3 linked regions of the Mus musculus genome follow. The protein of the gene in region 1 interacts with the protein of each later gene in a biochemical or structural test. Links are inferred from orthologs where the notes say so. Each region holds a gene or a part of one and is shown on either strand. Other genes may lie near its edges. The genes, in order: Ncoa6, Thra and Tgs1.

Evidence for each region.
Region 2: the proteins of Ncoa6 (region 1) and Thra form a complex in vitro, tested with the Homo sapiens proteins (2 studies listed by BioGRID). The link is inferred for Mus musculus from reciprocal best matches to the Homo sapiens genes NCOA6 and THRA.
Region 3: the proteins of Ncoa6 (region 1) and Tgs1 form a complex in vitro, tested with the Homo sapiens proteins (2 studies listed by BioGRID). The link is inferred for Mus musculus from reciprocal best matches to the Homo sapiens genes NCOA6 and TGS1.

Annotation. Positions count from the first base shown.
Region 1 is NC_000068.7:155,433,572-155,444,700, reverse strand, and holds the start of Ncoa6 (nuclear receptor coactivator 6), read left to right. Parts: upstream 1-3,917; 5' UTR 3,918-4,013; intron 4,014-6,561; 5' UTR 6,562-6,606; coding exon 6,607-6,841; intron 6,842-10,612; coding exon 10,613-10,768; intron 10,769-11,129. UniProt on the Homo sapiens protein: Nuclear receptor coactivator that directly binds nuclear receptors and stimulates the transcriptional activities in a hormone-dependent fashion. Coactivates expression in an agonist- and AF2-dependent manner.
Region 2 is NC_000077.6:98,762,418-98,772,329, reverse strand, and holds the end of Thra (thyroid hormone receptor alpha), read right to left. Parts: intron 9,410-9,912; coding exon 9,263-9,409; intron 8,802-9,262; coding exon 8,543-8,801; intron 8,053-8,542; coding exon 7,925-8,052; coding exon of another isoform or gene 7,802-7,924; exon of another isoform or gene 4,174-7,801; coding exon 3,805-4,173; 3' UTR 3,324-3,804; downstream 1-3,323. Other genes in the region: Nr1d1 (nuclear receptor subfamily 1 group D member 1), read left to right, coding at 196-537, 805-893, 986-1,130, 1,499-2,142, 2,442-2,627, 3,071-3,281, 3,911-4,110.
Region 3 is NC_000070.6:3,571,375-3,582,478, reverse strand, and holds the start of Tgs1 (trimethylguanosine synthase), read right to left. Parts: upstream 7,601-11,104; 5' UTR 7,454-7,600; coding exon 7,350-7,453; intron 3,772-7,349; exon of another isoform or gene 3,565-3,771; intron 1-3,564. UniProt on the Homo sapiens protein: Catalyzes the 2 serial methylation steps for the conversion of the 7-monomethylguanosine (m(7)G) caps of snRNAs and snoRNAs to a 2,2,7-trimethylguanosine (m(2,2,7)G) cap structure.

The sequences.
Region 1 (11,129 bases):
AGTGAAGGGGCTGCTACTAAGTCTCATTACCTGCACTCAGTCACTGAGCCACATAAAAGTGGAAGGAGAACAGTGACTCTGAAGCTGTCCTCTGATGTCCATGTGAGTGCTGTGGCATGAGTATGCCCACATAGAAACAAATCATAAGTGCAATTTTAAAAAGCACTGAAAGGTTTTTATGGATACGTGTATACTCTGGAACAACTTCAGGCCATTAGACATCTGTCCTCTTTAAAGAAGTATTTTGTTTTTCATTAAGTTTGTATATGGTGCTTAGGGGTGAAGGGGACCCTGAAGATGGTCATGGCAGGGAAATGAACTGTAAAGAAGTGAGAATGAAAAATTGGTTCAGATTTACTTCATTAACCTAGATCAAGACTCTGGGGAGTCTGTTGCTGTGTGGTGTATTCCCAACAAATTTAAACGGTATAATTTGGAATAGCTTTCCTGATGTAATACAATCCTTGGTGCACAAGGAACAATTACACTGAAACTTAATTCAGGGTACATGTCATTTTTTCCGAGAAGATGGGTTCTAAAGACAGGAGGCTACCTGTACAAGCTTAATGGCCTAAGGAAGGGTCTGGCCTGTCTCCGTCATACTGACAGCAGAGAGGTCATCTGTGCTATAAGCCATCTCTGGTCCTGGTTGTGGGAGCTTGGAGGAGCCTCTGGCTATACAGATAATGTAAGGGTCATTCCTACTACTGAGTATCGCTGTCTGGGTTGTGGGAGCTTGGGGAGTCCCCTAGCTGTGAGGATCATTTAGATTACTAACTACTTTTGTTCCTGAGTTTATATTGGAGCTTGTTGTGGTCTGGTCCAACAGATACCACTGACCAGCAGCTTAGTCACTTCCAATTCCCAACTTTCTGGATGGAAAAACAGGTTTTGAGTCTTTCCCCTTGGAAAGACAATCCTGTGTGTATAACATTCCTGGTCTCCCTGGAGATCTTTGGGCTTAAAGACCTTCCTGCTGTGCTCTCAACCTAAGAATATCAAAACATTTATATTGTAGCTTGGCAGTAGCACGTGCTTTTAATCGCAATAGGCCAATGAAAGTGGATCTCTGAGTTCAAGGCCAGGCTGGTCTAGAGTGAATTTCAGAGCAGCCAGAGCTACACAGAGAAACCCTGACTCAAAAAAATAAAACAAAACAAAAATTTATACTATGAGGAACAAAATCTTGGCCAAAATAGTCACAGTCAGCAATCCTTTTTTGTTTCTGTTTTGTGTTACTTTGGTTGCTTGCTGTTTTCTCTTTTTTTCCATGGTGGGGGCAGTAAAGGGTTGTTTTTTTTTTTAAATAGTTTTGTATGTAGTCCTGGCTTTCCTAACTCAGTCTGTAGCCCATGCTGACCTCAAAAGGCATGTACCACCACTGCCTGGCTTGTTTTCCTTCTTTACTTTCTTAAGTTAACAAGTTATATAACTTTAAAATAGTCTTCCAATATTGACGTATTGGACCTGAGCATGGTAGCATATGCCTGTAATCACAGCACATGAGAAGTTGAGACAGGAGGATTGCCAAGAATTCAAGGTCAAGAGGCACATCCTGCCTCAAATATTTTTAATAATTTACCTGTTTACTTTTGTTTTATTGGATTTTTTTTTTTTTTACTGTTTTATTAACTTGAAACACTGTCTCATACAATGCAGGCCTCAGATTCTCTTTGTTCCTGACTGGCCTTGAACTACTGATCCTCCTGTCCTAAGCGCTTCCTCCTTCCAAGTGCTGAGATTACCAACCTGAGCCGCTGGGTCTGACCCGTTTTTTGATTATGGCCTTTAATTTGTGCCCTTCTTGCCTCTGCCTCCTGAAGGCTAATTGCAAGCAAGCCCCACCATGTCTGTCCTTCTGTTTCTAATTGAGTTCTAGTTTACTGATGTCGTCACTGGCTCCCTTTTAGCGCATTAGCTCACTCTAATGATTTTTTTCTAACTTTGAGGCAGCTATTTATTTACTTACTTCCCCCTATAACTCATGTAGATATTTTATGATTATTAATTTTCTTCCTCATTAATTTGCCTGTATTCTTGGGTTCCTATAGTTGTATTATTTATAGTTCTCTAGAAATATTGCATTTCTGCTTGGTATTTTTTTCTTAACCTGAATCTATAGGTTTTGCTATTGCTGTTAGATAGAGCTCTGTTTGTTGGTTTTCTTTTGAGATAATCACGTAAGTGCATTGTTACTAGAGTATTTGAGTACTCACTCATTGTGACTAGAGTATTTGAGTACTCACTCATTGTTAGTAGAGTATTTGAGTACTCACTCTATTGTTGTTTAAGATATATTGAGGTTTTTTCCTTATGGCCTAACTTTAAAAGTACCTTTTTCTTTAATTAAAAAAGCAATTAAATAACAGTTTTTGTTATTTATTAGTACATATTCATCTAAAGTTTCAAGATTATAGAAATCAATATTGAGCTCATAAGATAGTTTCTCTGAGGAGAGGGACACTTGGCCACCAAACCTGAAGACCCTAGTTCAGTCCCCAGGCTGGTGGCAGTGAAAAGCTGATTCTCACAAGTTGTCTTTTCACCTTTGCACAGTTACACATGTATGTATGTATGCACACATTAAATAGATGTTTCAAAGATTTTAACCAGTATGTGGCAATAACAAAATTGTAACACCAAAGTTAAAAATGTTATAGTCTGATACTGTCTTATTAAGATAGGTAATTTTTTTCTGAAGCGTGCCAAAAAAATTAATTTCCCATGTATAATTTGTATGTTTGCCGTAAAGAATGCTTTAAAATTTAAACTAAAATTTTAATTAAAACTACAAGATGGAGCTGGGCGTGGTGGTGCACGCCTTTAATCCCAGCACTCAGGAGGCAGAGGCAGGCGGATTTCTGAGTTTGAGGCCAGCCTGGTCTACAGAGTGAGCTCCAGGACAGCCAGAGCTATGCAGAGACACCTTGTCTCAAAAAAAACAAACAAACAGGGACTGGTGAGATGGCTCAGTGGTTAAGAGCACCGACTACTCTTCCAAAGGTTCCAAGTTCAAATCCCAGCAACCACATGGTGGCTCACAACCATCCGTAACGAAATCTGATGCCCTCTTCTGGAGTGTCTGAAGACAGCTATAGTGTACTTACATATAATAAATAAATGAATCTTTAAAAAAAATAAAACGCCTGACAGTAAAGCGACTCTTCTCACAGACCTGCTTTCCTCTCAGTGCAGGTCGGGCCCTCCTTAACAAACAAACTACAAGATATTGTGAATAAATAAGGAAAATATTTATACTTTATGGATTTTAAAAATAAGTTTGAAATTATGTTAGAAGATGTGAGTTTTGTATTAATGTGAATAGAAAATATTCTGTGGGGCTGGACAGATGCTCAGATGTTAAGAGCGCTGGCTGAACTTCCAGAAGACCTGGATTGCCTCTCAGCACTGATACGGTGGCTCACAACCATCTGTAACTCCAGTTCCAAGACATTCGACACCCTCTTCTGGCCTCCATAGGTACTAAACACACATGTGATACACATATATACATATAAGCAAAATACCCATGTCCACAAAAAAATCTTTTAAGACTTGTAAAAAGAAAAATATTTGTCTCCAAATATCTATAGGTAGTTTCCTTGTTTAATTTGGCAAGGTTAAGAGTAAAAGTCTGGAGGGTGCAAGAAAGCCAGAATTCCCAGTTCTGTGGCTCTTACATGAAGCTACTTGGGGTTCCTGAGTTTTGCTTCTTCATTCTACATGTGGGATAAGTTTTCTAGTGAAAACTGATTTAACAATCTCTAGAGTTTATGTATTTATGTATGTATTTATTTATTGTTCGTATTTTTAATCTTATTTCTTTATAATACTGTTTCTCTTCCTCCCCTCTCCTCCCCTCCCCCCCCCCTCTCTCCCTCTCCTCTTCTCTCTCTCTCTCTCTCTCTCTAAAAGAATTCTGATTGGTTGCTACTTTGACCTATAAGCCCTAAAGATGCCACCTTGCTTGGACTTAGAGGATGATCTGGATAAATGATAATTAAGACATTTTGGTAAGTGAAAGTTTATGTAAGAAATTCTTTTTTTTTTTAAGTCTACCTTTTTGGTTTTTCTTTTATTTTAAATTTGTTTTATATGTACTGTGTATATTTTGCATTCTTGTATGTCTGTATAACACATTCATGAAATTTCCAAGGAGGCCAGAAAAGGGTGGGTGACAAATGCCCTGGAACTGAGGTTACAAACAGTTGAAAACCTCCATGTAAGTTCTAGGAATTGAACCTGGGTTCCTAATTTCTTTCCCAGCATATTATCAGTACATAGAGAACCTAGCAATTTACTTTTATTTGCATGTGTGTTTATTGGTGCCTGTGGAGTCTAGAAGAGGATATTAGATCCCCTATAGCTGGAGTTCTAGGCAAGGTTGTGAGCCACCTGACATGGGAACTGAGCTTCAGTCCTCTCAAAGAGCACTTCACTGATGAACCATTTTACTAGCCCTGCTACTGGGTTTTCTAGGTTAATTTTATATCCCTGATATTTTCTTGAAAGTATTTACTACCTAACTCTTAATAGTTACCTTGAGACGTTCTTAGTATGTTTTAAGTAAGTGATCACATCTGTAAGTAGGAATGATTTGACTTCTGCCTTGCTTGTTTCTATGCTTTTTATTTACTACAGGCACTAGCTGGGCTGATATAATAGCACATACTTTTATTTTATTTTATATTTTGCATACACCTTTAATTCCAGCACTCCAGAGGCAGAGGCAGAGGCAGGTGGATCTCTATGATGAGTTTGAGGCCAGCAAAGTCGACAAAATGAGTTCCAAGACAGCAGAACTACACAGAGAAATCCTGTCTCAAAACAAGCAAACATACAACAAAGAGTTCAAGCACTATAATCAGTATGACCAGGGGTGAAGTGGGGCTGGAGAGTTGCTTAGGGGTTAGGATACTTGTTATTTTTGCAGAGAAGCCAAGTTCACTTCTTAGCACCCACACAAAACTATTGGATCCTCTAAGAGCAACATGTTCTCATAACTGCTGAGCCGTCTCTCCAGCCTCCACATCTTATTTCTATTGTATGTGCATATCTTGTAGGTGCATATGCCACCATGAGGTACAGAGGTTAGCAAACAGCACACAGAGGTGGTTGGTTCTCTCTGTCCTCACAAGGCGTGGCTACAAGTGCCTTTACACACTAACCCATCTCACCAGCCCTCATTGTATGGTGATCATTTTTATTTTTTTTTTAATTTTTTTTTTTTAGGTTATATCCTTTTGGTTTAATTTTGGTAATTCATGTATTGAGAAACATACCAGTTCCTTCTAGTTTTAACAACTTACTGGAAGTTTTCAAAAATTCCTTAGAGATCCTCTTTGAATCTCACTGCTTTAATATCTCCTTTTTAGTCTATGTATTATGTATATAATATATATTATGTATGTATACTTATCTTTTTTGAGGCCAAGCCTCTTTGTATCCCAAACTGGCCTTAAACTCCCTTTTAGCCAGATATGATCTTGGGTTTCTGAGATCCTCCTGCTTCCATCTTCCATGTGCTGGAATTATAGGTATGTATCGCTATGCCTGATTTGTGTGATGGTGGGGATCAAATCCAGGGCTTTGTGCATGTTAGGCAAGCTCTATAGCAACTGAGCTGCATCTTCAGCCTCCTCATTTTCTTAATTCATGTCTATTTATTTTGGTCAATTTGGTTATCTTATCAAAGAACTCTTTGTTTCGTTAATCTTTTATATTTTTCTTTTAATCCATTTTATTAACACCTATCCTAACATTTATTTTATCTTCCCCTTTTTTTTTGAAGAAAATGTTTAAACATCTGTTTATTTACTGTTGTGTGAGTGGGCTTGGTGTGTGTTTAAGTCAGATGACAACTTGTAGTTTAATTCTCTCCTGCCGTCATATGGATCTTGAGGGTCAAACTCATCGGCAAGCTTAGGAGCGGTCCTAGTCACCTGCTAAGTCAGCTCACCCGTCTGTGTCATGGCTTTCCAGCTACTAATTTTGGTTTGGTTTACTCTTGTTTAACTTTAATGACATATATCATTAAGTTATTTTTCTTTCTGTCCTACTTTGAAATGGTTGCTAAATACCTACAGTTTTTAGGCAGTTTCAAAACTCAGTCTTTCTCTTGCTAAGTAAGCAGCAGCTTTTTAGCCTTAAAATTTTTTTGTTAGTTTTATTTATTTACTTTTAATATTATTAGAAATTCTTAAATGTAGCTGGAGAAGTATAGTTATTTTATAAAGGATTTTTCTGGGTGCTGTTGTTTGAGACAAGAGCTTACTTCTGCAGCCTGGGGTGAGCTCAACTTATGATCTTCCAAAGCGCTGGGGTTGCAGGTGAGCACTGCTAACACTCAGATCTATTGATTTTCCTGTGTCACTTTGTATATTTCTCCCAATAGTCTAGTCTTAACAAAAAAAAAAGTAGCAAATAATATTATGAAAGGAAATTTTATCTGGTAAATAAATTACATCTTTTATAGAGGTATGGATAACATATTAAATAAAAATGATATGCTGACTATATAATGATAGTTTATAATACTCTGCATCCTCTCTTTTTCTGAAGGTTTACTTACTGTTCACTTTGCATATACTTCTGGAATAATACACCATGGTTTTGGATGACCTTCCAAACTTTGAAGACATCTATACTTCCTTGTGTTCATCTACAATGGGCGACTCAGAGGTGGAGTTTGACTCTGGACTAGAAGATGATGACACGAAAAGTGATAGTATTTTGGAGGATTCCACAATTTTTGTAGCCTTCAAAGGAAATATAGATGATAAAGACTTCAAATGGAAACTGGATGCAATATTAAAGAATGTGCCCAACTTGTTACACATGGGTAATTAATCTTTGCTTTCTTCTTGTTGCTTTGACATGCTTACTTGCCTACAACCATGATGCTAGGATTACAGGTTTAGGCTACCTTGCCTAGTTTTAAAAGTTGCTAGTAAAGTATATTGTAATTAAATAAATTTCAAATATATTAACATTAAAATTAGTATAGAGCTATCTGATGTGTGTGCAGAACACAGATAAGTTTCCAGTAATCATTAGATTGGAAGAAACTTTAGTGTCTTTGTCCTGTGGAGCCAAGATCTAAAGTTTTTCAGTGTATTGAAACATGTCTCCAAATGTGATGGAAAAGCAGGCTTAACACTTAGAGCTTGTCTGATTTCACTAGGTTTCAACTCAGCTTGCTTAGCCTTTCTCTGGGTCACAGTTTCCTTACCTTTAAGAGCACTTTGACTAAACATAGTCTAAGCATTTTTAAAATTTGTAAGTATATTAATCCCATCACCCTTAGCAGGTGGTCTGCTTTGTTCTTGTTTTACATCACAACAATAAATTCTGTGTTAATATTTTGTATCTAATGGTTTAAGAGCTGGAATGGGCTTAGGTGGCATATTGAAACGCTCTTCATGGATATCTGGATTTTGAGAAAGCATTTTCCTATAGAGCTATTTTATTAATATTGAAAGATGTAATTTGGGCAGTGTCACATACCTTTAATCCCAGCATTTGGTAGGCACAGGCCAGCCTTGTTTACAGAGTGAGTTCCAGAACAGCCAAGACTACACAGAGGAATTCTATCTCAAAAGAAAGAGAGAGATATAATTGAATAAAGGGTATGAACTGTTTAGTTGATCTGAGTTTATAACATAAGGGAAAATATTTTGTTTGGAGTTGCCAGATAGCTTTTATTTCCTTTCTTATCTGTGAAATGTAATTACAAACAATACTACTACCTCAGTTTACTTTGTAAATCTTTAATTGTAAAATACATATAGTAGAGTTTGCCATCTTTATGATTTTTATATATGGCTCAATGATTCTTAAATGCAATTAAAATATTATGCAACAATTACTAGTAGCTATTTTTATAACTCTTATAAAATTAAGATCTATAACTATTATATAATAACTTCTCATTCCCTACCTATTCAAGCCCTTAATAAGCACCATTGCACTTTTTTTTTTAATTTAAAAAATTAGATTTATGTGTATGGGTATTTTGCCTGCATGCATGCAATGTCCATAGAGGCCAGAAGAGGGCATCATATCTTCTGGAACTAGAACTACAGCCAGTTGTGACTTCCCTCTTGTGTGCTTAGAATTAAACCTTAATCCTCTGGAAAAGCAGCCAGTTATCTAACTCTCCAGCCCCCTTGCTTTATTTTTACCTACCCTATCAAAGCAAAATCCTGTATCTTTATTTCCTGTTTTATTTCCTTTAGCATAATATTCTCAGTGTTTGTCCATGAGCTGTAGCACATGCTAGGATTTCCTTCCTGTTTCAGGCCAAATATTCCACAGCATGTATGTATATACTACATCGTCTTACTGTTTATCTGTTGCTGGGCACTTGAATTCCTTCCGTGCTTTAGCTGTTATAAATAACGCTGCTGTAAATGTGGATATACTCTTCCATATTGTGCTTTCAATTCTTTGGACTGTATCCTTAGAAATACAAGTGCTGTATTATATTGCTGGGGACCAGCCCTGATATTCAGTTACTGAGGTGGGAAACAGCATCAGTCAAATGCCAAAGGCTGATGACCTCTGACCTTCTAACTCTCTCTTACTGTCTTGGGGGCCAGAAGCTGATGCAGTTTCATAGGGAAAAAAGAAGGGGGGGGCAGGCGCACATGTATGCACACATTCACACTTTGGCTGGGCCTAACCACCTGTTTCATCCATTTCACAAGTGTACATGCATACACATGTACCTACATACATATGTATGCCCAGACATATATAACATATATATATTTATATATATGTATGTATGTATGTGTGTGTATGTATATATATATATATTTTTTTTTTGGGTGGAGGAGCAGAGCCCCAAAAGCCATACTTTATTTCTTCTTTCCACCTTTTTATACCTTCTTACACAAAAGTTCTTTATAAAATTACCTCATAGATAAAATGTTACACAAATGGGGAGTTACAGTAGAATGTCAAAAGCAGTGTTTCATTCTATAAGCCCATTATAAGTTCAAAACAACAGTTTCACATAGCCTTGCTTTATCATAGTGCTCACCTGTGGTTTCATCTTTGGACCTGACCTAGAATCAATGTTTTCCTTGATCACAAATCTTTCTCAAATCTATTTCTCTTCTTAGTATAATTTATGAAAGCTTATCATACAGCCTTTACTTACTATTCTATGAAGAGGGGCACATTCTATTCTTGACTCTAACACTAAAACCATCTCCTTAAACTTTCTTCCTAAAATTATTTGAATTCTATAAAGTCATTAATTCATCTAAACAGCATTAATTCATAAATGTTTCATCTTCATGTTGAAGTCTGTAGGAAATTTGCTCAATAGAGTGGACTGATGCCCAAGAGTCATTAGGCTATGTAATAATGGCAGGAATCAGCCATTATTTTGCTGAAATGGCCAGCATATCAGCAGTGAGAAGCAATCCTGGGGCGAAGTCTCTGGGGCTGTGCCTCCTAGAAGGTCTATCACAACCATGCAAAATGGTGGGCCATCTCCAGGAAACTCGCTTGCTATAGCCTTTCCTAGATGTCTGGCTACTGTCATTATATAACTTTCTTTTTTAATTCCTCACCATATAGTTCTCTTAGTAGTTGTACTTTTTGTGTATTCCCATCATTAGTGCACAGGGGTTCCCAATTTCCCCCATATCATTGTCAACATTTGCTGTATTCTACTTTTATAATGACCACCCTAATGTGATATGGTATGTAGTCATTTGATAGTGTGTTAGGTTTGTTTGTTTATTTAGTTGGTTGGTTGGTTGGGTTGGGTTTGGTTTGGTTTTTGTTTGTTTGTTTGTTTGTTTTTTTCAAGACAGGGTTTCTCTGTATAGCCCAGGCTGTCCTGGAACTCACTCTGTAGACCAGGCTGGCCTCGAATTCAGAAATCTGCCTGCCTCTGCCTCCCAAGTGCTGGGATTAAAGGCATGCGCCACCACTGCCCAGCTTGATAGTGTTTTTTTAATGCACAAAATCACTAAGAAGTCCAGTGTTTCAGGCCAGGCAGGAGTGATGCACACCTTTAATTCCAGCATTTAGGAGGCTGAGTCAGGTGGGTTTCTGTGAGTATGAGGCCAGCCTAGTCTATAGAGTGAATTCCAGGACAGCCAGGGTTACACAGAGAAACAATGTCTCAAGGAGAAAAAAAAAGTTTATTGTTTCTATTTTTTTCTTTTGTTGCCTGTCCCTTTGCTGCCACATCCAAGAAATTACTGCCAAGTTCAAGGTAGTGAAGGTTTGTCAGATATTTTCCTCTAAGAGTTTTAGGTCCAAATTTAAGTGTTCCATTTTCGATTAATTTTTGTACATTATATTAGGTATAACTTCACTCCTTTGCATATGGACACACACGTTCCCTAGAGTAAGTTAGCATTTGTGCATTCTTAAGAATATGTCCAGAAGTTTGTATAGGTTTTAGAGTTGCAGAATGCCAAATGCTTTTCTGTCCTAAAGGAAGCTGACTTGTCAGAGTGTATGTTTCCTCCCTCTGTTGTAGTTCAGTGAACTCTGCTCTTATTTAAAATAGGGATTTTTTTTTCAGTTGCTCATTCTCAAATGCCTTCAAAATTAATAATGTTATTCTCTTTTCTTCGTGACCAAGAATCCAGCAAGCTAAAGGTACAGAAGGTGGAGCCCTGGAACAGCGTGCGAGTCACATTCAACATCCCCCGGGAAGCAGCAGAACGGCTACGGATCCTGGCTCAGAGCAACAACCAGCAGCTTCGGGACCTGGGGATTCTCTCCGTTCAGATTGAAGGTTCGTTACTTTGCCATGTGCCTATCTGAACCACAATACAGTAACAGTAGTACCCCTGCGTAATTTCTGATGCTGCCTTGTCTAGCAGTTAGGAGAGACTTCTCTGCTTGCCATTATATGACATCTCTACTAAAAACCTGTAAGGATCTTTTTGTTCTTTGTGGTTTTGTTTTTTAATTTTTGAGAAATGATTTTGTGTAGCCATCGGCCTCCAATACCCTATGTAGCTGAGCACAATCTTGAACTTCTAAATCTTCCCTCTACCTCTGATGTGCTTTGATAACAGACATGTTCTAACACACTGGGTTTATGCAATGCTGAGGACAGTACTCAGTGCTTTCTGCATGCTAGGCAAGGACTC
Region 2 (9,912 bases), on another chromosome or scaffold:
GGCCGGACTTGGTTATCATAAGTAGCATGTGATGGAGAGTTTCTAATAACGACTAGGTTGACCGGCCGTGCTATATTTAGTCTGTGTGGGAGAATTGCTTCTTACTCCAAGGTTAGGGGGTCTAATGTTCTGATGATGACTGTGTGAATGACAGACTTGATGGCTGATACCCTCCCCTTGTGTTCTCTTATTTAGGTGGTGTTATCACCTACATTGGCTCTAGTGGCTCCTCCCCGAGCCGGACCAGCCCGGAGTCCCTCTACAGTGACAGCTCCAATGGCAGCTTCCAGTCCCTGACTCAAGGTTGTCCCACATACTTCCCACCATCACCTACTGGCTCCCTCACCCAGGACCCTGCCCGCTCTTTTGGCAGTGCGCCACCCAGTCTCAGTGATGATAGCTCCCCTTCTTCTGCATCATCGTCATCCTCTTCATCCTCCTCCTCCTTCTATAACGGGAGCCCCCCAGGAAGTCTACAAGTGGCCATGGAAGACAGCAGCCGAGTGTCCCCCAGCAAGGGCACAAGCAACATTACCAGTAAGTCAATGCCCAGCTGATGTAGGGGGAAAGGAAGTGAGCCCAGACGTAGTTGATAGAGTTGGTTTCCATCTGAGAGTTACTCTTGGGGAGGTGGGAGGGGATGGGGGTCTGTGCTCTGGCCTTTGGAATTTCTCTTAAGAGTTTGTGCCAGCTCCTATCCAGTCCAGTCCAGTCACCTAGACGTGAGAGCCCCTCAGCTTTCCCCTCCTAGAACCTTGAGCCCAGAAGGAGTCCGTATTACCCTCTGCCTGTCTCTTCCCACAGAGCTGAATGGCATGGTGCTACTGTGTAAGGTGTGTGGGGACGTGGCCTCAGGCTTCCACTATGGAGTGCACGCCTGTGAGGGCTGCAAGGTGAGGCGGGTTAGGGTTGAGGACCTGGGCAGGGGATGCATGCACAGGCTCGGCTTAGATGAAGACATTCATGCGTCGCCCCTGCCTTCCAGGGCTTTTTTCGCCGGAGCATCCAACAGAATATCCAGTACAAACGGTGTCTGAAAAACGAAAACTGCTCCATCGTTCGCATCAATCGCAACCGCTGCCAGCAGTGTCGCTTCAAGAAGTGTCTCTCCGTTGGCATGTCTAGAGATGGTAAGGCAGTATTCCCATATCTCCTTCTCGCCCCATTTTCTTCCACCCGGCTTCTGCCTTAATCCCTCCGTTTAAGAAAGAGCCTCAAGTTGAGAAGGATGGTACTGTGAGTGTTGTTTACATGGAGGATACCCAGGTGCTAACCTCTTGGGCAAACACACACTCTTCTACCATTCATATCCCCCCCCACCCCCACCCCCTGGTCATCTCCTCTCACACCCCCTGAATGGGTGTGGCTTTGCTGGTTTCAGTTTTGATGTGGAACCCCCCAGGCTTTTAGGGTCTTGCTTGCCCTTTCGGGCGGAAGGAAGGAAGAGACGCATGTGAGTATGTCAGGACTTCCTGACACGGTTCTCGCCCTGTTGCAGCTGTGCGTTTTGGGCGCATCCCCAAGAGAGAGAAGCAACGGATGCTTGCCGAGATGCAGAGCGCCATGAACTTGGCCAACAACCAACTGAGCAGCCTGTGCCCTCTAGAGACCTCACCTACTCCACATCCCACCTCTGGCTCCATGGGCCCCTCACCTCCTCCTGCACCAGCCCCCACACCTTTGGTGGGCTTCTCTCAGTTCCCACAACAGCTGACACCACCCAGGTCTCCCAGCCCTGAGCCCACCATGGAGGATGTGATATCCCAGGTCGCCCGGGCCCATCGAGAAATCTTCACCTATGCCCATGACAAGTTAGGCACCTCACCTGGTAACTTCAATGCCAATCATGCATCAGGTAGCCCTTCAGCTACAACTCCACACCGCTGGGAGAGTCAGGGATGCCCGTCTGCCCCCAACGACAACAACCTTTTGGCGGCTCAGCGTCATAATGAAGCGCTGAATGGTCTACGCCAGGGCCCTTCCTCCTACCCGCCTACCTGGCCTTCTGGCCCCACCCACCACAGCTGCCACCAACCTAACAGCAATGGGCACCGTCTGTGCCCCACCCACGTATATTCGGCCCCAGAAGGGGAGGCACCTGCCAACAGTCTACGGCAAGGCAACACCAAGAATGTTCTGCTGGTGAGGGCATGGAGCCAGTGTGGAGAGAGCGAGGGGGCCTTGGAAGATTGGGACTAGAGAAAGACAGCCAGTGTTCCTAGAGGCTGGGGGTGGGGACTTCTGTCCAGGAAAGGACATTCTACCCCAAAATCTGGGTTTTACCTGGGAATCCTTAATCACCATTCGGCACCTGATTACCGATTTAGGTGAGAGACCCCTTCTCAAGGGCCACAGCTCTTAGCCCAGACAGTACTTGGAACCAGTCCTGTTGGGGAGCCCACCCAGCTAACATGTCCCTCCTTACTCCATTCTCCTCTTAGGCATGTCCCATGAACATGTATCCCCATGGACGCAGCGGCCGGACTGTGCAGGAGATCTGGGAAGACTTCTCTATGAGCTTCACGCCTGCCGTTCGGGAGGTGGTAGAGTTTGCCAAACACATCCCAGGCTTCCGTGACCTTTCTCAGCACGACCAGGTGACCCTGCTTAAGGCTGGCACCTTTGAGGTGAGCGGTACTTTTATGTTCCCTGCTCTTGACTGTGGGAGGGCCCCAGTAGTGTGGTGACTGGAGTGGGAAGGGCTTCCCAGAGTCTTTGGCCCTGTGTTATCTCTCTGTCTGAGGAGATAGAACTTGTAACACCGCTAGCTCGGCACCTCAGGGTCTGTGGGAAGTCTATCCTCTAGGCTGGTGTTGCCTCCAAACTCAGTGCATCAGAGTAACCAAAGAGACAACTCTCCTCTACTCTAGGCCGGAGCTGGTGACCTTCGGTTAAATTACATTCCAGAAGTGGCGGGCACTCCCACCTGCATCCCTCATTGACCAATCAGAGACTGACCCCCTTACTGACAATCTAAGGAAACACCCCTCAAAGTTATTAGCAGGCTCTAGGGGTCATTTGGCAAAATGCCCCTCCCATCTCACTCAAAAAATGTCCACCCTCCCTTCAGGTGCTGATGGTGCGCTTTGCATCGTTGTTCAACGTGAAGGACCAGACAGTGATGTTCCTGAGCCGCACAACCTACAGTCTGCAGGAGCTCGGTGCCATGGGCATGGGCGACCTGCTCAATGCCATGTTTGACTTCAGCGAGAAGCTCAACTCCCTGGCACTTACCGAGGAGGAGCTGGGCCTATTCACCGCGGTGGTGCTTGTCTCTGCAGGTGAGCCAAGCTCTCCCCTGACCCTGGAGGAGGCACACGCAGTTCAATTCAACATACCTTTTATGGAGAACCTACTCTATGCCAGGCCCAGCACTGGGCACTGGGCTACAGACATGATTCAGACACAGTCTAGCTTGGGAAACAGACTCATGCCCGACTAATTATAAAACAGCGAGAAGTGTCACACAAGAAGCATGAACCAAGTAAGCACAGACGACTATTTCTGCCCGGGAGAGCTGGGGAAGGAGGTGACACTTGATGTGGGGCCTCAAAGGGACAAGATAACTGCCAGGCATAGAGAGGGGGAAGGGCATCCCAGGCAGAGGGAACTACAGAGCAAATAACAAGGGAGCTTGGCCACGAGTGGCATGCTCAGGGTAGGAGGGTGGGCTCGAGGAGTGGGAGGTGGCCAGCCTGTGGCCATGCTCCCAGCGTGTGGGCGTGGCCCCGCTCTAGGGCAGAGGCCCCCCAGGGAGAAGGAGTAGCGCCCTCCTTCTCCTTTCCCGTTGCCCTCCGAGGGGCCTCAGGGAGAGGCTGCCTTGCCTGCCTGGTCCTCGCAGACCTCCGTGTCCTCCGTGTCAGAGGAGGAGCTCAGGGAGCTCGCCTCACTGCTGTCGTCTTCCCCACAGACCGCTCGGGAATGGAGAATTCCGCTTCGGTGGAGCAGCTCCAGGAGACGCTGCTGCGGGCTCTTCGGGCTCTGGTGCTGAAGAACCGGCCCTCGGAGACTTCCCGCTTCACCAAGCTGCTGCTCAAGCTGCCGGACCTGCGGACCCTGAACAACATGCATTCCGAGAAGCTGCTGTCCTTCCGGGTGGACGCCCAGTGACCCGCCCGGCCGGCCTTCTGCCGCTGCCCCCTTGTACAGAATCGAACTCTGCACTTCTCTCTCCTTTACGAGACGAAAAGGAAAAGCAAACCAGAATCTTATTTATATTGTTATAAAATATTCCAAGATGAGCCTCTGGCCCCCTGAGCCTTCTTGTAAATAACTCTTCCCCCACCCCCACCGCCATGCTCCCATCCTCCCCTATTTAAACCACTCTTGCTCTCTCCACCCTCCTCTGGCCCCTCGATTTGTTCTGTTCCTGTCTCAAATCCAATAGTTCACAGCTGAGCTGGCTTCTGTGATGTGTGCTCGTTTGGGGAATTGGGGTGGGGGTGGGGGACTACTGCCAAGGGGGTGTGGGGGGGGGGGAAGACACCTCTCCATCTGGTCAGCTTGTGGGGTGGGTACTCTGCCAGCAGATGGGAGAATATGGGGAAACAGCACGCAAGTCTAAGGGGGGGTGCCCAAGGGGGTTATTTTCATCATATATTTATTACATAAATATATAGTAAAATAGACGAGCAACAATTACCATAAAAATATCTTTCTTTAAAATCCTGACCCAAAACACAACGGGGTGAAAAATTCGCACATAACAGACATACTGATTGTCAACTGTGGGGCAGGAGGAGGAGCCCCTCAAGTCACCCCTGCCGGTCCCACCCATCTCTGGGGAAAGGACCTATCTCCTTCCCTGTTTCTAGCCACAACCCCTCCCCCCACCTCAGCACCAGCTTCTCATACATTCAGTAGCGCCTCTGGGTAGTGTCCCCCTCCTCCACCCAGGAGTTCCTAGGGCAGGAAGTAATTTCCCCCTTATGGATGGACGGACGGTGTCCATGTCACACGCCCTGCTCTCTCCCAGCCCACCGCCCGGGGAAGGGGTAGGGGCTCCTCCTCCCCCACCCTCCCCAAGTCTGAGCAGGGAGGAGGCTGGATGAGGTATGTGTGTTATAAGTGATGGGGGGGGGGGAATACTGAGATGGAGAGGCAGTGGTAGGGCAGGGTAGTGGTCATGGCTCTGGCACCCCCTTGTCCTGGCCTGGCCCCCCCAACCTTCTCCCAGCAACCCACCCCTCCCATCAATACTGCACCTGCTGCCCCACCCGGCCTGCCCTAGTGCCCCGGGCCAACATTGGGGGAAGGCATGCTAAGCACCCATGCCAAGGCCATCCCCCCATTAGCACCAATGGCCCCCAGGAGAGGGCCCTGTCCCCCACTTCCATGGCAGGGACTGGGACAGCTGCCTCTCTAGAGCAGGTGCGTGGCACTCCTGAGTCTCTCTGGCTCCTCCCACAACGTAGACTCACTCATCCACTCACACGAAGGAACACACACATACACTCCACATCACTGAGGGGGAGGGGAAGGGCTGAGGGGCAGGGGCTCACAGCTCATATGATTGGGGGGAGGGGGGAATTCCCAAGTGCCTATAAGAGGCCATGCCTATGGCTGAGAATGGGAATGGAGGGGAGTGGAGTCAGGGGAAGAAGGGAGACAGCAGGCAGGTCAGGAACTCCACTGAGTCCCCAGGTATGGGAGGGAAGTATGAGAGTATTATCCATGGGACTGGAGGAATACAGAAATCAGTACCCCGGGAGAGAGAGAAAAGAAGATAGAGATGAAGATAGCACAGGTGGCCCAGGGGCCCCAAGGAGTGGGGCAGGCACATGCACAGGTGACAGGAGATGCTCCTCCAGGCCCTCTGCCCAGTTGGAACACCTGAACAGTGGCAAAGGACACTGCCTGGGAACAGCAAAGCATTGCCTTCCACGTGTGTGTGTGTGTGTGTGTGTGTGTGTGTGTGTGTGTGTGTGTGTGTGTGTGTGTGTGTGTGTGTGTGTGTGTGTGTGTGTAGGGGCTGTGGCAGGCTGAGGGTCAGAGTGGGGTGGCAGGTTCCCCACTGCTTAAGACATTTTTGCCCCAATAGTGCAAAGCGCAGGAAGCCCTGGCACCCCTCCCCCGCCCCCTGCCCCATTCCCCATGGCTTCCGGGGGGCATCTATGTCCACCCATCCATCCCTGCCGACATGCAGCCCTGAGCCCAGGGCCACTGGTCTGCTCTGTTCCTCCTCCTCCTCCCTTCCCTTCCACTCTGGGAGGGCCACCTCCTCCCTCCCTCTCTCTCTTTCTCTCTCTCTCTGCAGAGGAGTGGGCTGTTAGCCAAAGGGAGGAGGAGGAGGAGGAGGAGGAGGAGGAGGCAGCTCACCCAAGTGCAGACCAACAGAGCACTCCTCACCAAAGGGTGGGAGGTGGCTCAAGCCAAAGTCCCTGAATTAGAAAAGAAGAGGGGAGAGGGGTTCCCAGGGGCAGAGGGGTGGCTGGCCTAAAGAGCTTCAAAAAAAATGGGAGGAGAGCCAACTGTCTCCTCCCCTGGGCCCCAGCTAAGTGCCACTGATAGAAACACCCCCCACTGCATGCCAACCTGCCCTATGTCTGGCTAGCGCATCAGTGGGAGTCAGGAAGGAGAGCAAAGGGAGCCCCGAAGACAGACAGGAAACAAGAGTCCCACAGGGGTGGAGGTTCTGGGAGACACACATGTCCACCCCACCCCACCCCAACAGCAGCATCTGGATTGTAGCTAATACTGCAGGATATGAAGAGGGAAGGAGCCCGGGCCACAGTTTTTCCTGTGTGGGTGTCAAGGTATGGGGTGGGGGGACAGGAGGCCCCTGGGGCTGGGCACTTGAAAGGGGAGCTGTGTGGGCAACAGGGCAGGCTGGTGAGGGGCCAGCTGGCATCCAGCGTGAGAGGTAGATGGAACTCAGCGGGCACAAGTGGCAGAGAGCAGAAGTACTGGGGTGCGGTGCCAAAGGGGCACGAGGGTGGGGGGCAAGGCAAGGGGGTTGCCGGGACCCTGTTGTATCCTCTCACAGCTCTGGGCGGCAGCCCTACCTCTGTAGGTCTGCCTGGGGCATTTCTCTCTGGGGGTCGGAAGGGCAGCTCTCAAAGTGCATGGGGGTGGGAAGGGCAGGGTTAAGGGGGGGGGAATCCTTCCCCTTGGGCCAGCCTCAGCTAATAACTTAATATCATCTCTCGCTCTCTCGCTCTCTCTCTCTAACGCTCTCTTTTTTTGTCTTTTTGTTTTTGTTTTTTGTTTTTTTTTTCTGTCTAGTTTTTCTTCATTTATATTCTCCCCTTGCTTGGTTTCCAAAGTGCAGTTAGGATGACTACCATTTTTTTTTAGCCTCCAGGGGAGGAGCTAAGCCAAGCCAAGCCAAGCCAAGCTGTCCTTTGCACCCAGGACCCAGGTATTTGGGGAAGTAGAGACCTGTGGCCTGAAGGGAAATCTAGGCCAAGGAACTTGGCAGGGCTCTCTGTGTGTATAGGGGTGAGTAAGGGCACCTGCCCCTACTCCTCATTCCTCCTGACCCTACAGTCAAGATGGCATGTCCCTCTCAATTCTTCCTACTTCCCTTCCCCTACTTTTTTTAGAGGTTGGGGTCCCAGAGACTCTAGAACTTGGGTCCTAGCCTCCCATACTGCCTTTCATAGCAAGTTCATTTATGGCCCTGTCCAAGGGCTGGAGGGTCTGAGGGGGCTGGGCAGTGCAGGGGTGTATGGGAGCTGCATCTATCCAAGGATGGGAGGAAGGAGAGAAGAGATGGGGGTTCTCCCTCAGCCCCCAGCTCTGTCCCTTCTCTCCAGGCTCCTCCCCACCAGCTCCGCACACCCTCTGGCCGCCTGAGGCTTTAGACTTCCTGATCCTCAAAGACCTCCAGGAAGAGTGGGGGGAAGAGTTCGGTGGGGCACTCGACTTTCATGTGGAGGAAGCGGCTGGCGTGGCAGGCCCCGATCATGCGGAGGTCAGTCACCTTCATCAGCAGCTTGGGCCAGAAGTGCGGAATGTTGTGTTTGCGGTGGTTGACGTAGTGCTCAAACGCCAGCAGGTAGGCCTCCTGACTCTTCTCGATCTTGTCCACGCACAGCAGGCCGGAGCGGTCTGCAGGGAGCAAAGAGAGGCATGAGGCCCGAGGACAAGAGGGTCTAGGAAAGCCGCAGGAGAAAGCATGATGGGATACTGAGGCAGAGAGACTGGGAGGGATCAAGGGGAGAAAATAGCACTGAGGGACGAGGGTAGTAGCAGGAGGAGGTGGCTGGGGCTCAGGGAGGGACACTGAGGACCTGCGGCCATGAAGCAATCCATAAGGAAGATAGTGAAATCGAAAGACGGCAGAGAGGAGAGGGAGGCTGGAAACAGAAAACGAATGGGCAGAGAGAGGATTGGTAGTGAGAGGCAATAAGTAAGCCTGGAACCAAACAGGAGGGCAAAGAAAATAGAATAGAGCATAGGCTAGCAGGGCAGGGGATTGTAGGGGTCATAGAGAGTCAGCCTGGGAGGGAAGGGGTGAGACAGAACCTATGCAAAACTAAGGAGAGAGGCAAGCAAGAGCCCTGGGAACTTGTGGCACCTCTCAGCCACAGCAAGATACCTGTTGACATTAGCAGCACAGCCTGCAGCAGAGCCACTTCCGTGTCATCCAGGTTAAAGGCAGAGAGTGACTTGCCCAGTTCAAAGATGGCGTCAGAGACCACACCCAAGCCACCATTCTTGAGCTGTTCCCGCTTAACCGCCATCTCCCCACTCAGGGTCAGGGTGTCACTCTCAGGGTCGTAGCGGACAGCTGCCCGCAGGGACATGATCTCCATGCAGCAGCCCTTCAGGAGGATGATCTGGTCTTCGCAAGGCAGCTGTGGAACAGCAGGATCACAGAGCACTTCAGTGCATCCTCTCCACACCCCACAGTCTCCCCCACCCTGTGCTGGGCTGAGCCCGCCCCTCCTGCACTGTTGCACTTAAACCTCACAGCTATGTCTAAGGGTGTGGTCCCATCATTCTCCCAGTCTCCTTCAGAAACTGAAGTACAGAACACGTAGGTAACTTGGCCAAGGTCCCACAGCTAGTACAGCAGCCTGTTTCTAGTTAGTGCTAGGCAGAATGAAGAGATGAGTCATGCTGCCTGCAGATAGAATAGGAGTGTGTGTGTGTGTGTGTGTGTGTGTGTGCATACACGCATGTGCTGAATATCTATAGATCTATAAGAATCACTCCATGTCCAGAGAACATGAGAAGAATACCCAGTGAGGCTCTGTGACCTGGGAAGTGACCCGAGACTCTCTCTAACAAGTCTCTCCTTCCATCTGCCACTCACCTCGGAGAACATGGGCAGTTTTTTGGCAAAGTCCACCACGCGCGTGATGGCCGGGGTGATGATCTTGGTAAACTCGCTGAAGGCCTCTAGGTCTACCTTGTCTCCGTCCGGCATGGAGACAATAGGTGACTGGCCAATGTCATCCGGCTAGAGGGAGAGAGACGAGGGTCAGCTGGGGCTGCAGACCCCTTTCACCCGCTCACGGAGACTCCCTACCCACCAGGGGGAGCTCCAAGGCAGCTTGGGGGGGGGGAAAGTCCCAGCGGAGCCTGCTAGACAGCTCTGCCTCTGCCTCAAGGCTTCAACATTAGGGGAAGAGGATAGACCAGAGCCAGCATTTCAGACTTACTAATGCTGATAATGGTGTGGACAGTAGTTAATAAATTGCAATAAAAACACAGCCGTCATGCCTGAAAGCATGATACCAGGCTGTAGGCTGGTTGCCTGCTCTACATAGCTCCTTTTGGTTTTTTTTGTTTGTTTGTTTTTTCGAGACAGGGTTTCTCTGTATAGCCCTGGCTGTCCTGGAGCTCACTTTGTAGACCAGGCTGGCCTCAAACTCAGAAATCGCCTGCCTCTGCCTCCCGAGTGCTGGGATTAAAGGTGTGCACCACCACGCCCGGCTCTACATAGCTCCTTTTAATCCTTGC
Region 3 (11,104 bases), on another chromosome or scaffold:
AGGGATCAGTGTTTTGTCTACCAGCACCAAAATTTATGAGACACTGAGGTATCAAGTGGAGCCAGGGTCAGTATAGCTACCACTATGGTTACAATGAACAAGCAGGAAATGGAAGAAAAGAGGTCTTTACATAATGGTTCAGTATTATAAACTCATGGCATTAAGTACACTGTACATATGGAAGTAGTTAAAAATGTTGAATGTATACATGTACGCAAATACCCATTCCTACGTGTACTGCAGGTCATATGGATACTGTAGAGTGTCTACTGAAAAGACACAGGAACAAATACACAGATTGCAGTTTAAAATTTCTGGATTGGTTAGCATTAATTGTCAATCTAACACAATTATATTCCTCCCTGGAAGAAAGGCCTCTGAGAATGTTTGTAAGAATTATCTTAATTGTATTAATGGATGTAGGAGACCCCATCACTCCCTGGCACATATCTGAGCTTGGGGACTCTGGATCTGACTCATTCCCTCAAGCTTCTACTGCTGGGGCTTGACTGCTTTGATGGACTATAATCTGGAACTGACAGCTAGATCTCACAATTCCTTCTTAAGTTGCAAGATACTCAGCATACTTTCATCACAGCAGCAGAAAAACTTGAGACAAGTACTATTATCTACTAAAAGAACCAAGATACTCTTGGAGAAGTGAGTCTAGAAACTGGAAAGATAAGTCTGGGCAATGAGAGAAACTTCAGATAGGCTATAAGAATCACCGCAAAAGGTCTCCCACTGGAACATTAAAGATAGTATGAAAAGCAGTAGTAACGATAGCAATGGATTCTAGCTCTCAATAAACTAAGGTGTCATTCCTCAGGCACAGTCCAGTCTCTTTTTGATACAGTCTGTTAGTGGCCTAGGTCTCTCCAAGTGCTCTAGGATGGCTTGCCAGAGCTCTGTCTTCTGAGTACGAAGATAACAAGAATGGGCTACCGTATCCAGCCCTTTTTGGGTGGGTTCTGTGCACTGAACAGTTCTCACATACAAGTACTTTACCAACTAAGCCAACTCCTTAGCTTTTTGTTATTTTCTGTAAACTATATTACTTAAAATGGTTTATATGAAGATAATTAAAGCATGCATTTTATAGCATAAGCAACTTTATTACAAGAACAGTAACTACCAGTTCAGCGTTCCCAGTGTTTCATTCTAAGCACACACATTTATATTTGTGATATACATATTTTGTATTCTGATGAATAGCTAGGATTTTTAAGACCAGCACAAACTTCTTCAAGGTGCTAAGCCAATCTATTCAATCTGTATCACCTAGTCTTGAGTATTTCAGACGCCTCCAAAATAAAAGCAAAACGAAACTGATATACTCATGTCTCTGCTCCCACATAAAGCTCTTTACTCGCTCGTGATCCCGCTTTCAGTGAACTTTCAGTGAAAAGTAGCCATGAAGGAATGAGCTACCTTTGGCCCCATTCTTCTCCTGTGTATGCTGTCCTTACCTTACTCCTCAAGCCAACCCAACAACCTCTCACATCTTTTCTCCCTTTCTTCCCCTTTTCTGTTGCTGTCTTTAATTTTAAAAGTTGCTTTAAAACAGTCTTGCTATAAAGCCTATGCTGGCCTACAATCTACTCTATTCTCCTTAATCAAAGCTATATTATCTCTTTCCTGCACAAAGTTTTGAGTAATTTCTTCTACAAGCCATTCACACTTCTGCAGATAAATTTTTTAAGTGCTAATGTGATAGTTGAAGCAAAGTAAAATAATCATTTCATTCTCCTGCTTCAAGTTTTCTTTTCTGGGGCTTTATTATTATTTTTTTAATTAGTGCTATAGAGGTTCACTAGTAAATTTTCTGAATTTTAATTCTTTCTTCTAAAGTTTTACAAGTATAATTATATAGTGATGGATTTAAAGTCTACAGTTTGTCCACACTCCTCTCCCCTCCTGACAGTCACTTTCCTTTCCCCCAGTAGTCTCCACTATGGATGCTACAGTGGCACAGGAGTTTGGTACAAATATTGTACTTATACACCAAATACCCCATTTTATTTCTCATGCTGTGTATATGCTACGTATGCACATATACATGAAATCTATATTCCAAATGAGAGAAAATTTGATATTTCTCTGAGTTTGGCTTATTCTGTCTGTTTAAGATGATTATTCACAGTTCATTTCAATGATACAATTTCATTGCTCTTTATGGATTAACATCACTGTGTATATAGGCCAGTTTATTTATCCACTCATCTGCTGACGGATACCTAGATCAACTCCATAACTTAGTTATTATGATTAGTGCTACCTACAATATACAGGATTCGCAAGTATCTCCATAAGATGTGGACTTAAGATTCTCGTGGGTCTATTTCCAGAAGTGATCTGTCTGGATTATTAGGTAGCTATATTTTTAGTATTTTTGAGGCTCCTGCATAATAATGGACGATTCCATCCAACAGTTCCAAAAAGCTTTTCTCACTCAGTTCTAACATGACATATATTTGCTAGGACTATTGCTTTTTCCTTAAGGACAGTCATGGTATGGTGAGATGGAATCTCTACGTAGTTTAGATTTGAAAATTTTTTCATGTATTTATTTTTGACCTCTTTATAGCATAATTGTTAAATTCTAGGTTCACTTTCTCTTTCTAGTCACTATTCTATTGTTTTGAAAAGACATCATGACCAAGGCAATTCCTTTAAAAAGAAGCGTTTATGTCCTGATTCTCAGGTCACAGGCAGCAGAAAGGGGAGGGGTGTACAGACAGACAGACTAACTGGGTCTGTTGTGGGCTTTTGAAATCTCAAAGCTCATCCCAGTGAGACTCCTAATGCTTCCTGAACAGATCCTCTAACTGGATTCAATCATACAAATATATGGGGACATTCTCATTCAAATCACAACACTGCTGCCAAAAATAGAGTGGGTAGGGGATGAAGAGATCCCTTCATGGGTAAGAACCTTTGCTGTGCATGCCTGTGTTTGCCAAGACACAGGCAGAACCTAGGAGCTTGCTGGCCAGCCAGTCTATCTCAAATAGAAAGCTGTGAATTTCAGTGACAGACCCTGCCTGACAGGAATAAGGCAAAGAGGAAAAGAAGAAAGCATTAGGCATTGTCCTCTGGCCTCCTTATGGACACATGATTGTATGTACCCACACCCATACAGAGGCAATGAGCCTACAGACAACACAAAGTGGTGGTCTGAATGTTAAGTGTCCACTTTATAGCCTCAGGTATTTAAACACTTGGTCCTATTGTTGGCAGCACTGTTTAGGAAGGTGGTGTATCCTTCTTGGAGAAGGCACATTACTGCGGCAGGATTTGAGAGTTCACAGCCTTGCCCACTTCCAGTCTGTACTTTCAGCTTTCTGCTGCAGTTGTCTGTTGGCATGCCTCCTGACATGGACTCTTCCTTTGGAAAAGTCAAAATAAACTCTTGCATAAGTTGCTTTTTGGTCATAGCCCTTTGTCACAGCAACAACTAATACAGCTAACGTGAAAGACACAAGGATACTTTTGAGAAGCTCAGACCTTTAGGGGTGTTTCCTTTTTATATGCATTCTTCTTTCTATCAACATTCATGCTTACCTCTGTGTTCAAAACCTCAGCTTCCTAGAGTCTTTTCTGCTGTGAGGTTAAACATTCTGTCTTCATTTAAGTAGCTGTCTCTAAGAAGTCCTCCGAGGGTGCTGTAGGTGACAGCACAGTTATTTCTGCACTTTCTGCCCCACTATGACTGACAGAACCTTTCTCTATAGACAGAGGTTTTTTGGAGAAATGGCCTTGGAAACAGGTCTAAAAGAAACAAACAGGTAGGTGTGAATGGGAAAAAGCATTCCTAGTAACCCAAGCTCTGTGTAAAGTCTAGAGGCAGTTAAAGCCTATGAAACTGAAGGAAAAGACTAAGAAGACAGTCAGTGAAGTAAGCAGGGGGTCAAAATATATAGGATTGTACAGAAGCCTGGATTGTCCTTAATTTATAACTGTGGTCCAATTTTAGAGTGACATACAATGAATATCCACATTCAGTAGAAACTGAAGTTTAGCTTTTGAATTTATAGTTCACATTTTAGATTTTTGAAACTCTAGAAGATTCACTTAACCATTACCCCCGGGAAAATCAAAAACCAAATTATATACTTCAATATACAATGTTACAGAAAGAAAAATGGGGGCACTGTGAGGACATGTTGGACCAAAGCAAGACCAAATTCTGTAGCTCTATGTCATAAGGCTGGACTTTTAATTTCAATTTCACTGCCAAATTTGCAGTGTTTTCTATGTAGTACTAGCTATTAAGTCAAGAGTGAAGGGTTCTGGATTCTTCCTGAATCTTTTCAGAGGTCTCTGAGGGAGACCAAGCAACATGTTACACAGATGCAACCCCTACACAAAGGCTGAAAAAGTCATTGCTGGTAGTTTCTCTCTGAAAGAAACAAATTCAATACTTTAGCCTCAGGCAAGTTCTCAGGACTTGGACAGAAAACAGCCAGATTTTGCCAAAACAGCACAGGAATGGATAAGTTAGTATGAAAATCTTGATTCCCTCTTGAGCTGGGACTCTACAATCTATCTTATTCTCAACACTAATGCCTATCAGGTTCTAACTAGAATGGCCTATTAAGCTCTGCTTATAGCATCCAACTTCTTTTCTAGTACAAAGTCTTCCACATTCCTCCAAAAACCCACCACAAAAACAAATAAACAAACAACCCAAAACCCCAACATGGCCAGGTTCTTCACAGCAACAGCCCATTTTCTGGTACCAACTTCTGTCCTAATTACTTTCTGTTGTGATAAAACACCGTGATGGAGAGAGAGCAACTATGGAAGACATTATTTTGGCTTACAGTTCCAGAGAAGAGTCTATAATGGCAGGGAGACATGGCAGCTGGCAACTGGAAGAAGAAGCTGAGAGAGCACATCTTCAACTGAAAACATGAAGCAGAGAGAATGCAAACTAGAAGTGGGCAACACTATGAACTCTCAAAGACTGCCCAAGCTATCTACTTCCTCCAGCAAAGGTTTACCTCCTTCCCAAACAGTGCCACTAATGGGAACCAAGTGTATACAGACCTGAGCCCATGTTTGGCTCAGTTTACTCATCAGCCATGTTTCTGGTGGCTTCTGAAGCTCTATCTCAGTGGGTCAATAAGAAGTTCATGTAAGATTACAGAGAAGCCCCTGATGATAAATAGGATTATAACTGATAATGAGAAATTAAGATGTTTTTACTGTGAACAAACGTTAGTCTTAGAGCCATTTCCAGAAAATTTCAGGTTCACATCTATAAACTAGTAAGTAAGACCACAAAAGTTTATGTTTAAGCATGGGTTAATTGTTATTTTAGCAGTCTCTAAAAAAACAAAACAGAACATATACATAGATACATACATATATACATACATACATACATATGGCAGAATGTGGTGGCACACACCTTTAATCCTAGTGTTGGGAGCCAAAGACAGGCAAAGCTCTGTGAGTTTGAAATTATACTGGTTTACGTAGTGAGTTTTGGGCCAGCCAGTCACTCAGTCACTTGGTAAGACCATGTCTTAAAGTCTTTAGGGTTGGGTCTCTATTTGCACCACGTGGACCCTGAGGATCAAGCCCAGGTCCTCAGTATTGGTGGTAAATGCCTTTACTCATTGAGCCACCTCACTGCTGCAGTCCAACTTTTCTTCCTTTCCTTTTTTTCTTTTTCTTTTTTTCTTCTTCTTGAGATAGGCTTTCTTTGTGTAACAGAACCCTGACTGTGCTAAAACCTATCTGAAGACCAGGCTGGCCTCGATCTCAAGAGATCAGCCTGCCTCTGCCTCCCCCTTCCTGAGTGCTGGGATTAAAGGCGTGAGTATTCACACCAGCCTATTTTAATACTTACTCAAACTATTTTTACATAAAAGTAATGTTTTCACTCAGGCCATTTTTACATAAAATTCTGTTAAGGATACTGGTTTTCTCGACTTTCTGCCAAAAAGGCACTTCAAGAAGACTCTAAATGGAGGAGTTCCTTTCCTCTCCCAAGGCTTCATATTTTTCACTGTCCATCCTGCCAGATTGCTATCAAAGCACCACAGACATGTCTCTTATCCAGTTGAGTTAACTGAGTAATTGTGCAAACCGCTACCTTAGTGCAATATTGATCTCTTTTGCTTAGAAAGTGAATTCAGCGCAGCCTGGTCCCATCTTATATTCCATTACCTACCAGCATCTAATAGGAGCATAAAAAAGAACTTTACTGAATTAAATGTACACCTGAGCGTTGGGAGTCATTTTTGTCTGCTTCTGTAAAAGCCTGTCTGTTAGGCGGAGTCAAGGCAGGTCAGGCTGACAGATTTCCTGGCCTGCCAACGGCATGGAACAAAAAGCTACAACTGAGGCTCAAGGAGAGAGGCTGAACGTTCGATTAATCTTTGTGGAAGGAACAGGGAGGCCTCCGGATGGGAACAGATATCCATTCTCTGTCAGCCATTGTCTGTGCTAGTTTGTGACTTTGTTTCCCATGATACTGTAAAGTGTATTAAGGTTATGAGAAATACATTTGGGGCCAGTGTGGTTCAGGCCTGCAGCCCTCCGGATTTCTAACCTTTGTCTCTGAGTCTTCTTTTCGGTCTTATAATCATCCTCACTCCCCCACTAGAAGACTGTTCAACTCTGAACCAGCAGGACCTGTGCAAATGAGCCTAGTACATTTTTTAAATGTTAAATTTAACATGGTGTTATATTTCTTTTTTGAGGAAACTTTCAGATATCTTCCCTCAAGTACATAATGAAAATGAGTACCTTCAAATTTAAAATTTGTCAATGCTTTTCCCACCAGAAGGTACTTTCTATTCTGGCAATTTTAAACATGAAACCAACATTTCCCCCAGAGATGTCTCTAAAACTGCCATAAACAGTTAACACTTTTATCTCAAATAATTAGACGTTTCAGATACATAAATTTTTGTTGGAAAGGATTTTACAGTTTGCAAATAGAGCTCTAATTTGATCCTTCATCTCATCAATCTATTTGTATTAGTTTACACTTCACACTCCATCTTACTGGTATAGCTCAGGATGGTCTTGAATTTGCTATCCTTCTGCATGGCCAATACCTGGGCCATCTCGCCCGACTCAACCAATGTTGAGATTGGCCCTTCATTTATGGAAACCCGAAATGACACATATAAGGTACCACATTTAAAAAAAAATCAAAATTATATTAATCTTCCCTTTAGTAATTGCAGTAGAACATTCCTTCATGCCCGCGGGGTTTCGAGTTTCTTAGACATCAGGTCATGTGGCTTTCTGGAAAGCCTCTCTCTAACTCTGCGACACCCCCATTCCTGAGCAAGGACAGAAAGTGAGAGAGGACCGTCGCGACTTACTCCACAAATGCCCGGGAGCAGAGGCAAAGGATCTTGTACTCCTCCTCGCGGTCTTCAATGAAGAGCAGCATTTCGGCCACATGGTTCCACTTCTCGCAACACATTTCGTTATCCGGGCTCGCTCTGGTGTTGTCCGCGACTGGGCCGGGCGCTGTTGCTGAAGACAGAAAGGCGTAACTCGCGCGGGCAGAGGAGCGGAACGCGCCTGGGGACGCTCGAGCCGGGAGCCAGCCAGCCGCGCTACCGGAAGCAGCGACAGCAGCTACCGGAAGGGGCGGGGCGACCGACGGTCCTACACCCAATGTGGCTCGGCCTTCTTCCTCTCAGGCAGTTAAAGGAAACCGGCACTACCCGCGTGTCTGCTTCTCCCGGCTCTGCCGCCGACCAGCTGCCGAGGTCGCCGATTTCCTGTGACTTTCTTGTCAGGTGCGTCGAGCTCCCCATGGACTTCTCCATGCTGTTCTAGCCGGTAGCAGGCGTGGTGTCCTGGTCGCGGGGCCCGGAGCGGAAAGCCGGACTAGTTCCCGGCCTCTGCGCCTGCGCCGTGCAGTATATCTACAACTGCAGTATTCCTTCCTTTCATAACTCCTAAATTCAATATACCAGTCTAGATGTGAATTATAGATAGGCATGGTGGTATACACCTTTAATCTCAGACTTGGGAGGCAGAAGCAGACAGATCTCTCTGAGATCAAGGCCAGCTTAGTCTGCAGAGCAAGTCAGGTCCACACAGATGCTGTCTCAAAAATAACTAAATGTCTTACAGCATTATTGGAGAGAGTGACTAGAGTTAGACTATGATGCAGTAGAAGAGTAGTCATTAAAAGAGTAGGGGACTTTAACCAAAAGTAGAAGAGCATTTTTATATTGAAAAACAAAATCTTTGCAAGGTAATGTACATCAGAACCCGGAGAAAGAAGCTTGAACTCAAGGGGTTTTTGTTGTTTGTTTTCTTTTTATTGATAAGTGACACATGGGTGTGAGGAGAAGGCTTATTGGTTATTCGAGTTGGTTAAAGGGACAAAACATTCACGGGTGCATGAAAGTTGTCCTCCGCCTTCACATGCTCACTCATGCATCCTCCCCACAGGGTCAGGTGATTAAAAAAAAACATTTTAAAATTCTTTAAAAAGCCAATGGCATGTAATAATTTTACATATTTCTGGGTCACGGGGCAGCATTTCAGTGCATGTAGAAGATCATGAGAAGATACATTCATGAGAAGATCCGGGGAAACGATATATTTCTCACCTCAGACACTGTTTCTTTGTGTTGGGGCATTCAAACTGTTCTCTCTTAGCTGTTTTTGGATACTCACTTTGTAATCCAGTTTTCCTACTGTGCTTTAAAAGTTAAGTCTTCCTTTTGGCTATGCTCCACACCCACTAAATCACCATGTCTATATACTTCCCTGCACTTGTCCTGACTCGCTGTTAATCTTTGAGATTAACTTCCTTGTATGAGAGACTGATATGGCACCACCCAGAGTTAGTGTGAGACTTCCCACCTCCATTAACAACAGCAAAACCAACCAAACAACCTCACAGACATTCTCAGAGGTTTGTCTCTTAGGTGGTTCTAAACCCATAAGCTGACAGTCAAGAGTAGCAACAACAGTGTTGCTATCTATTCTTCATATGTTTGATAGCCAGTGACTATTCAAGCCCCCCTTTTAATGGGATTATTTGGGTTTTTTGACTACTTAGAAATAAATCTTTTGACTCTAGAAATAAATCTACTGTTCAACTAATAGTTTTTTTTTTTGTTTTTTGTTTTTTGTTTTTTGTTTTTGTTTTTTTTTTGTTTTTTTTGCTTTGGATGTCTGTTCTTTGGAGGGCATAGTTTCCCCTATATTTTCTTTTAATACTTTAAAGGGCAAAATAACATTGCTGCCTTTGTTTAAAAGAAATTGGTGGCAAGAGCGTGGGTTTATTTTTATATTCTGTTTGGTTTCCTTGGTCTACATGTCTTCATGACAGTTCCATGTTCTGGTTACATTGAAGGTGGGTATGGTAATGCCTTCAGCATTATTCTAGGGCTCGGGGTTGCTTTGGACATTTCGTCTTTTGTGTCTCCATGTGAGTTTGGGGATTGTTCTAGTTCTATGAATGTATTTTTCTATTTCTGTGAAATGTCTGATTTTTTTATTAGAATTTTGCTGAATCCAAATACCGTTTTGACTAGTATGCACATCTTAACAACATTAATTTCTCCAAAACAAGAACATGGAATGTTTTCATTTTTTATATCTTCTTAATATTTTGGCCTTGTTTTTTATAACTTTTGTTGTAGAGATCATTCTTTTTCTTTGTTAAAGATATTCTTCATCTCGCTTAGGTTTTGAATGTACACTGTGCTCATAGCTGGAGGTAATATATATCTATATACATTACATATATATACACATATATATACATATGTACACATACACACACATATGTATATACCTGCAGTTTTCACTGAGGCTTACTCTATGAGGTTGTGAATTTTCTAGTGTAGAATTTTCTACTTGATGGCATTCAGATTTTTCAGTTTTGGAGCAGCTTGGGTTTTGGGGTTGACAGTGGTTACTTAACCTATATAGAACTTGGTCCTATTCTTAGTTTTAGGTATCTACCTGAGTCCTAGAATGTACACTTTGTGGTTAAAGGAGACTACTATAATTCTATTAATAAGTTTTCTAAGGAGGTACTAAATAAAGCTATAAAGTCACAAGATGCTAAAACTTATTAGCCGGGTGGTGGTGGCACACGCCTTTAATCCCAGCACTTGGGAGGCAGAGGTAGGCGGATTTTTGAGTTCTAGGCCAGCCTGGTCTACAAAGTGAGTTCCAGGTCAGCCAGGGCTATACAGAGAAACCCTGTCTCAAAACAAAACAAAAAAACAAACAAAAAAACCAAAAAAAACCCCAAAACCTTATTAAAATGTAAACAAGTCTATTGGAGTCAGTGCCTTAAACAAAAACAGCCAAAGTTTCAAACTGTTAATTGGGCCTAAGCAATTTCCTTTAACCTATATGAAAGTTTAAACATTTTGTTTATTAGCAGTGTTAAATACAAAAACAATTTTTGAGGTACAGTTCACAATAATATGTACCATTTTATACTGTGTAGATTAGTGGGTTCCGTCATCCTTACTCTCTAATTCTAGGGTATTTCGTTATCTCTTTGACATTCCCCAGCTCTGGCAACCACTAACTTTTCAAATTACCTTGTTTTGGGTATGACATATCAGTGGACACAAACTGCCTGGCCATTTGTCATTTTGTTTGTTTTTAATTGTTCACTCATGTTGCAGCAGGTCTCTGCTCTCTTGACTGAGTGGTGCTGTATTATATGGCTATATCATTTGTATCCACTCATCAGTTGGTGGGCATCTTAATCTACTTTTCAACTATTATGAATGATTCTGCTACTAATGCACAAGTTTTGGTGTGAATGGTATGTCTTTAGTCTTCTTGGGAATATATGTAGTAGTAGATTTGTTGGGTAATATAGTAACATGTTTAGCTTCTTCAGAAGCTGTCTGTCTGGCCTCTAAAGGCAGTAAATATTGCTATATTGAATTTTAAATGGTCAAATGCTGGTAAATTATGGTTTAACTCATATGGTGGATTTGTTAGTATAGTGACTGAATTTTATTACAACTTTTATTATTTTATTATCAATTTTGATCTTGATTTGATTAAGAAACACCTGGTACATTAGTGAAGCATCCCATTGGCTGTGTCTGAGAGAGTATTTTGAGTATTTTGA